Linked DNA regions of Yarrowia lipolytica. The protein of the gene in region 1 interacts with the protein of each later gene in a biochemical or structural test. Links are inferred from orthologs where the notes say so. Each region holds a gene or a part of one and is shown on either strand. Other genes may lie near its edges. The genes, in order: YALI1_A19459g and YALI1_E12402g.

Evidence for each region.
Region 2: of the proteins of YALI1_A19459g (region 1) and YALI1_E12402g, one has a biochemical effect on the other in vitro, tested with the Schizosaccharomyces pombe proteins (4 studies listed by BioGRID). The link is inferred for Yarrowia lipolytica from reciprocal best matches to the Schizosaccharomyces pombe genes dsk1 and prp2.

What each region holds. Positions count from the first base shown.
Region 1 is NC_090770.1:1,943,632-1,947,766, reverse strand, and holds YALI1_A19459g (uncharacterized protein), read left to right. Parts: upstream 1-1,931; coding exon 1,932-3,392; downstream 3,393-4,135. Other genes in the region: YALI1_A19441g (uncharacterized protein), read left to right, coding at 3,470-3,599, 3,643-3,734; YALI1_A19428g (uncharacterized protein), read right to left, coding at 3,860-4,135. UniProt on the Schizosaccharomyces pombe protein: May play an important role in mitotic control by altering cellular location, degree of phosphorylation and kinase activity. Abundant expression accelerates the exit when cells are in M-phase and also delays the entry into mitosis when cells are in G2.
Region 2 is NC_090774.1:1,238,026-1,242,638, forward strand, and holds YALI1_E12402g (uncharacterized protein), read left to right. Parts: upstream 1-2,207; coding exon 2,208-4,013; downstream 4,014-4,613. Other genes in the region: YALI1_E12295g (uncharacterized protein), read left to right, coding at 1-1,196; YALI1_E12421g (uncharacterized protein), read left to right, coding at 4,110-4,198. UniProt on the Schizosaccharomyces pombe protein: Necessary for the splicing of pre-mRNA. The SF1-U2AF59-U2AF23 complex has a role in the recognition of the branch site (5'-UACUAAC-3'), the pyrimidine tract and the 3'-splice site at the 3'-end of introns.

The DNA.
Region 1 (4,135 bases):
ATTACCCCAGGATGTTCTTCTACGGTACAGTACATACTCGTTCAGTATCCAACTGAAAGCTGACTGATGGTGACGAACAAACAGCACCTTATAAGAGGGATAAGGACACGCCGAGAGATGATAAACTGATTGAAATGGGCATGAAAAGAAGGACGGATTTGTCAGATTTCCAATATCTCCTCTGTGGCGTGAGATAGATTCGTTGCTATTTGATAGACGACTGATGTATGTATAGTAGCCAGAAATGCCCGTTTAAGGAATTTTTCCGTTCCAATAATGCACTTGTAGACTTGACACCCGCTCTGTTTGTTACCTCCATCTTTTTTTTTGACCCAGGTCACACTACAAGTACTGCACTGTAGTAAAAGTTTTACTAACTGATCGTTACTTTTTGCCATGAGACAAGGGATTGGAGAGGGCTTCTAATGAGGCCAGTTTTGCCAATATGACGATAATTTTTTGACTGATCGAGAGCTATTGATTTGCTGATTCCAACCATAGTCTTTTCTAGTTTGTTGAGCCACCATTCTGTCCGTTGCATACGCCTTTTTATGTTCCTCCAATATGACGTAATTGTCATCTCTAAAAAACATCTTATTCCAATATTGACCATATAGGCCTTCCAAACAACTGGTATAGAAAGGGGTCAAAATGGCCGCGTTGCTCGAAACCTGTGCAATTCAATTTTCAAAATATATATAAAATCGACTCTTATCAAATCGGGGGTTTTCCCGATTCCAATCTATTTTACTCGATTTTTCTAATTCTGCCCGATATCACATCGTATCCAAGTGTATTGTACTCGCTCGTACATACTCGTACTCGTACTCGTCAAGACATCTGAAACACGTCACCCAAAGACAACAAAAGACACCAGCCAGTGCCGAGACAAGAGGCAGATGGTGCTTCTCTCAGGTACATGTGGAAATTGTGCAATCGGAGTTCTACAGAGTACAAGTACCGCTGGTTGTGCCACTTGTAGTACAACTGTTCTCTCTTGCTCTCCTGTATAGCAGGGTATATATACTCTCCAAGTGCAATACCACCATGTTCCCGCATGAGAGTCGTCAAAAATATACAGATTACACCCATCGGAAGGAGTCACGTGACCTCCACACACTCATCCCCCCACCCCAACGGACTTGTCCCGCTCTTTCTGGCTTATCTCCTAATCTCAAGAAGCGCGCCGAGTTGCTCGTATGTGGGAGGGTTGCCATTGTGGATGCATGGGGTATGCGTGGCTGGGATGTGTTTTCTGTTAGGGTAAGTGGGTCGTGACAGGATGTACTTAGGGCTGAGGGTTACGCGGGGACTTGGGGAAGAAATGGCGGGGCGGAAATCTCCGGCAATGGGCTCCGATTGGCAATTGACCTGGAAAAGCCGTTTTTCCGCCGCTTTTGGGCCTCTACAACCGGTGTTATGAACATGAGCTCATCTTATCGTGTTGGAGGGTAGATTGCCGCACCTGCAGGAGAGTGTGTTTAGAATGGGCTGTGGGGGTCCCAGCGCGATTCTGAAAAGAGAAATCAGGAGAGAAAAATTGGGCGAGTATTTTGGCGGGGTTTCTCTGTCTCTAGCGCGTCTACAAGTCCCTCTTTGGACCCCCTTCAAGGCCCTCCACAGCACGCCATGCATGCGCAACTTTAAAATCAAAACAAGTTTGGCGATATCTAGTGAACTCGTACTCTGAGACGACTTGACCAGACGACATACTGATACAAGTTGAACGTGCGACCCTCAGTTGGAGACACAGACGACGTGACGCAGACACAAACCGACGTTACATAAACAGCGCGACAGCACAACACCCCCGAGTTTACACCAAACACTTTTAACCAGCCTAGTCGAGACGAAATCCACCAGAAAAAAAGTACTCGTCCGTGGTTATACGACACAAACACCGACCATCATCACATATCCAGTTGCACACAATGTCGAAACTCACCGTCAACACGGACCTCAGCGACTCGGAGGACGAGGTGCTGCAGAAAAACGAAGAGTCGCTGGACGACTACTGTCCCGGAGGCTACCATCCCGTGAAGATCGGCGAGAAGTTTGCCAACGGCCGCTACGTGATTGTGCGCAAGCTGGGCTGGGGACACTTCTCGACCGTGTGGCTCGCGCGGGATACGCAGAACAACGACCGCCACGTGGCCATGAAGGTGGTGCGGTCGGCTTCCCACTACACAGAGACGGCCATTGACGAAATCAAAATGCTGGAGCGGGTGAGCAGCAAGAACCCCGACCATCCAGGCAAGGCCCATGTCGTGGGCCTGTACGACAGCTTCAAGCACGTGGGCCCCAACGGCACACACTACTGCATGGTGTTTGAGGTGCTGGGCGAAAATCTGCTGGGTCTCATTCGACGACACCAGTTTGCCGGCATCCCCGTCAAGCTCGTCAAGCAGATCACAAAGCAGGTGTTGCTGGGCCTGGACTACCTGCACCGCGAATGCGGCATTGTGCACACCGACCTCAAACCTGAAAACGTGCTCATTGAGATTGGCGACGTGGAGAAGATGCTTAAGCTGGCCGAGGAGGAGGATCGCGCGGCGGTCGAGACGAAAAAGACCAAACCCGGGTCCAGAACCGGTCGTAGATCGCGACGACAATCTCTCATCACCGGCTCCCAGCCACTCCCTTCTCCTCTGCGCTCCAACGCGTCCTTCTTCAACGATCTCACCATGACCAAGATGGTGGAGGAGGTTCGACTCGACGACGACCACGAGAAAAAGACCAGCAACCAGCTGTCCAAGAGCCCCACATCGGTATCGCCCACCAAGCCGAGAACCGCGCTGGCCGAGGAGCTCATCAGCGTCAAAATCGTCGATCTCGGCAACGCGTGCTGGGTCGAGCATCACTTCACCAACGACATCCAGACGCGACAGTACCGGTCACCCGAGGTGCTGCTGGGCTCGTTCTGGGGCGCCAGCAGCGATATCTGGTCCATGTCGTGTTTGGTGTTTGAGCTATTGACCGGCGACTATTTGTTCGAGCCCCAGACCGGCTCCAAGTACTCCAAGGACGACGACCACATTGCGCAGATCATCGAGTTGCTCGGCAAGATCCCTACCAGCGTGCTGCAGACCGGCAAATGGACGTCAGAGTACTTCAACGACAAGGGCGAGCTCAAGAAGATCTCCAAGCTGAAGGACTGGCCACTGGAGGCAGTTCTGCATGAGAAATACAACCATAGCAAGGAGGAGGCCAAGTTGCTGGCCAGCTTTCTGCTGCCAATGCTGCAGATGGATCCCCAACAGCGAGCCGATGCGGGCGGCATGAGCAATCATCGGTATTTGGACGATGCCAGTGGTCTGTCTGATATCAAGGTGGATCGAAAGTGTGGCAGGAGTGGTATTGATATTGTTGGATGGGCCAGTGAAGCCAAGTAACCGAACGAGTGCTTAGCACGAGGGAGGATGCTGGGGCGCCATACTAAAACTGTCGCTCATGAGCAGCAGCAAATTGAATGGGTGGGTGGACTGAACTACTGATAAAGTTGGGTAGGGTCTCTATTATCTCTACTCTTGTGACATCTTTTAGAGTCGTGGTTAGACTCTCCCCCCTTTCCCTCCCCCTCATTCAGATATCACCACAAGGTAAAACTACGTTAGAGTAGTGTTTGTGGTGATGAGGAAGAAGATAGAGAGATGCAAGGAGGCATACAAGACGGTACGTATGTACAAACAGATTTGTATAGTATAATAGGAAAGAGACGGACCAGGCCCGAGTAGTTTGGCTGTTGATTAGATTGATGAAAAAGTGTTGTGAGCCGAATGACAGACTGACTGTGCGCTCACATTCTACATCCCTTCTTTAAAATAAATATATAATATGTACGAATGGGTCAAGTTCACGGTCATGCTCCCAAAGTAATCAACGAGTCCTCGGCCTTGTCGTCCTCTGGACAAATGAATTTGTGTTTGAAAATGTCAAAATCGTCATCTTCATCTGACGAAGGGTCCGAGGCATCCGAAGGAATATCTTCATCGGGACCTAGTCCTAGTCGTCGTCTGATTCTGTCTTCTTGGGAAATTAACATGGACTTGGGCTTTGTGTCTGGCTTAGTACGTGACATGTTTCTGAACTTTTCCAGCCGTTCTGAAACAACAGTGTCAACTTCTGTGGTCATGTC
Region 2 (4,613 bases), on another chromosome or scaffold:
TCATCAAGATCCATTCGGACGGCCGACTGGGAGGTATGGTTTCTCTGGCGAGATTCCGGCTTGAACTGGCTCTTCTGTGGGAGATTGACGAAGACGCTCAGGTAACGCCAGAAGATGTTCCTCTGGTGACTCTTGTGGCGTCTCTGGCGTCTGCGGAGATCCGGATGGCCTTTGACTACCAGCAGTTTGGTATTGCCAGTATCAAGAACCTCGGGTTCAGTGTCTCCAACCAGCGAGAAGTGGCGGACTACCTGTCCGCCATTGTCGACATTGAACAGATTTGTGTCTTTATCACTGTTTTGGCTCCGTCCAACATTCTGGATCTCGTTCAGATTCTGGTTCGAACCAAGCAGGGTATTGAGGGAGCCTATGAGGAAGAAGTCGGGGCTTCCAACGAAGAAACTCCCTCCAAGGAGAAGAAAGTTGGCCGGCCTCATCTTCTCACGTCTGTGGACGTTTCCATCAACTCTGGAACGCTGCAGGTCTACCCCAGCACTCTTCTCGATACTCAGGTCCTCTACGTCAATCTGTCTGGAACACATGCCAAGTTTGTTTGTGACACCCAGAAGCGTGGCCTCGTCAAGTCGCACCTGGAGCTGGGTATGCACGAGTTTATCATTGCTCTGAGTACTTTCAAGACCCAGATCAACGAGGAGGATCTGTTGACACTCACTGTGGACGAGTTTGTGGCTCATACTCGCAGAGCCAAGGGAGGCACCATTGTGCGGATCCCCAAGGTCGACATCAACATGCACACATGGCAGTACGACACCAACCCTACTGAGGTCAAGTTCACATACTCGTCCGAATTCGCCGGCAAAGTGGACATTGGCTGGAACTTTGGCTCAGTCACCTTCATCCGAGAAATGTGGAACTCGCACGCCAAGGCCTTTGCCAGCCGAAGAGAGGCCTACAAGCTCAACTTTGTGGCCAACCCGTCGGTGCTCAAGGATGGCGAGCTGGAGGAGAAGCTCAAGGATGTGGCTCTGGATGAAAAGTACGTCTATGTGGCGTTGGAGCCTCCCAACATTGAGATTCCCCAGCTGCGAGATATGGGCGAAGCCACTCCTCCCATTGAGTGGATTGGTCTGCATCGACAGCGGTTCCCCGGTCTGACTCATCAGGTGGTGATTGTGGGTCTTCAGGGCTTGGTCAAGGAGGTTGAAGTTGCATACTTTACAGTTCTTGGAGCGTAATGACGGCGATATAATGGAGTTTGAGGAGGAAGAAGAGAAAGATATGAGCGGCTGAGTGTGGGGGACAAAAAGGAGGACAATTTATTTATTTATATTATTTTATTATTTCAATTTGGGGTGCTCCGGCACACATGCAGTACATACTCGTACTCGATCTTGGATCAGTGGTGTGTGGCTAGACCATTCATAAATCACTACAGGACAGCCTTGTGTATCACGCGGTGCATCATCTGTTTCTGGACCCTTCTGGACCCTTCTGTTTGTTTCTTCTGTCTCACTCCATCCAACTTCCACACATCGACGATGCAGAAATCAGGCGTGGAAAACAGAAGTTTGGATCGGTGATGGTGTGGAGTTGTAGGGAGGATGGAGTTGTAGGAGGATGAAGGGCGTGGATGAGTACTTGAATCTCGTTTGAATCTCGTTTGTTTCTATGCAAAATGTGTCAAGATAAGATGATTAGTCGTGTAGAAGAGGAGCCAACTAATAGATAAGTATTTCGTTCCAAAGGTAATCATTTTCCAAGTGTAACGCTAACTAATGATTGAAGGGATGGGGTTTTATGATGGAGTTTTAAAGACATTTTTGGAGATGAATTGTGCCAAAAAGAAACATTTGCTAAGAATATGTTTGCGGTCTATCGCTTTATTCATCTACAATTTCTCTAGCATCTTTAGAACACCGAATATGAACCCCCAGCATGCTTTTGCTCTTAACAAAATGTCAAGTAAAGAAGACTTTTCCAGGAAAGGACGTGAGTTCTGAAAATGGGCAGAAAAAAAGTAGCACAGACACAAAAAGTGGACCTTAAAAGACATCCAAGCCCTAATACCCCAAGCATCTGCTTCTACTCGGTCTACTCCCTGGGTTGTATGGTTGCCACCAGACCTGCCTGGGTTACCCTACCCGATGTGAAGCTTGTCCTTCTTCACCTGCAGCGTACTTACTCAGCACTCACTGGTTTGAACTGTACACACACCACATCACCACCCTCCAACCGTCTGTTTCAGCATGAATAACAGCGTGGAGGAGTTTTTGGCGCAGACGCAGCGCGGGCTGGACACGCAACAGCCGCCGCGACCTCGTTCCCACGACTCGCGCGACACCGAACGAGATGTCCGAGATCGAGAACGAGAGCGGGACCGGGACTTCAGAGACCGAGACCGTGAGCGAGACCGCGAGCGGGACCGGTACCGTAACCAGCGGTGGCGTCGACGGGACGACTCGGTGGACCGTGAGCGGGAGCGAGAACGACACAGAGATCGAGATTATCGAGATCGCGGCGATCGAGGAGATCGAAGGGACAGATACAGCAGAGATGGAGGTAGAGACCGACGGGACCGACGGGACGACGATCGCACACGTGACAGACCACGTGATCGAGACAGAGACAGAGACAGAGACAGAGACAGAGACAGAGACAGAGATAGGGATAGGGATAGGGATAGGGATAGAGACAGAGGAGACAGAGAACGGGCACGTGACCGAACCCGCGAACGAGATCGAGACGTTTCGATCGACGATAGCGTGGTGCCTCTCGACGAGCGTCCATTGTCTGCTCCCACGGGCTGGGATGTCAAGGCTCGAGGATATGAGCGGGTCAGTTCTGAGCTGGCCAAACGATCGGGTCTGTTTCCGTTACCGGGACGTCCCACCCAAGTCAACTATAATGTGTTGAGGGGACTGGTGGAAGGTCTGCCTGATCAGCCCACGGACCACGAGACGGCAGCAATGATGCCTCTGGTGGACACGGGACCCATCAACAACGGTAAGGGATCTGTTCGACCTGAGTTTTCACGGGTGGCGCGAAGACTGATTCTGAGTGGTATTCCTGCCGATCAGATCGACACGGTGGCCATCAAGAGCTTCTTCACAGACTTCATCGAGGGTCTGGAGCTGCAGGGATCCAAGGAACGGATTGTGGACGGAGTTTACAAGCATCCTCGTCTCCCCGAGGTGTTAGTGGAGTTCTTTTCTGCGGAAATGGCAACCTTAGCCCTGGCTCTGTCTGGTCTAGGTATCAATTACTCGGGACCCCCCATTAGTATACGACGACCGTCCAACTACATTTGTCCTACGCCAGAGAGAAGCGAAGTTTCAAGAAGATCGCTGGACGAGGAGAAGGAGGTGGCTTCTGTGGTGGAGGACTCCAACACGAAAATCATTGTGTGGGATATTCCGTTCAACGTAGAAGAGGACCAGGTGCGACAGCTGACAGCATCGTTCGGTGAGCTTTCTGCATTCCAGCTCATTCGACAGCTGCCGTCTCGGGAGTCGGCGGGCATTGCTCTGGTGGACTACAAGGACCCCGAGGTGGTCAAGGACGCCGTTTCAGGGCTGTCAGGACAGGTGATTGGTGGAAAGAACCTCAAGGTAATGCTAGCATGTGAAGGACCCACGCAGTTGTCGTGTTCGTCCAACAACGGGTTGAAGGGAATTGTGACGGTCATGAATGACGTCAAGAGCCGGCCGGAGTCGTCGGTCATTGTTCTGTTCAACCTGGTGACTCTGGACGAGCTGCTGGATGATGTGGCCTACAGAGAAATCACCGAGCAGGTCGAGTCCGAGTGTCTCAAATATGGAGGAGGAGAAGAGGTCCAAATCAAGATCCCACGACCTGACCCCGAGGCCATGAAGGCGTCGTATCGACGGCTAATCTTTGAGACTCGTCCAGGTGTGGGAAAGGTTTACGTCAAGTTTGCCAGTGTGGAAACGAGTCGAGTGGCGATGCAGAAGTTGACGGGCCTGCGGTTTAGCAGGAGAAGTGTCATTGCGAGTTATTACTCGGAGGAGTGTTTTGACATGAATGTGTTTTAGATAGTTGAGCGCAACGGAGAGACACTTGTTCCAGGACTCTCAATCGGAGCAGTGGAGTGCGAACGAGCTAGACATTGTGACGCTCTCTACTCTGATATGAAGGTTCATCTATCATTATTGTGTTTGTCATCATGGATTTTGGCTGGATTGGATATAATGATACCGAGTTTCCTTCGGGGTTATAGGTCTTTACATTAATTGTACATTTGAATAGTTGGATTTTTGTATAAGGGTATGAGCAGCAAGAAAGCAATTTGTAGAAAAATGAGTAGGAAGAGCGCGATTTTCACATTGTCGCAGTTCTGAACACTCGTGGAATGTCAAACAAATAATTAAAAAATAAAATAAAAACAAATAAAAATAAAAATAAAAATAAATCTTAGATTATTGTGTTTTTTATTTAATTTTTTTTATTATAACATTAATACATTAAACTCTATATTTAATAAGACAAGTACTTGTACTGTAGGTAAACCGCTGAATGTGATCGACGGATTAACTCTGACCCAGCTCTCTCTTAAAATAATGCGATTAAAAAATAAAAATGAAAATAAATAAATAAATAAAGATCAATAAATTAAGATAAATAAAATAAAGATC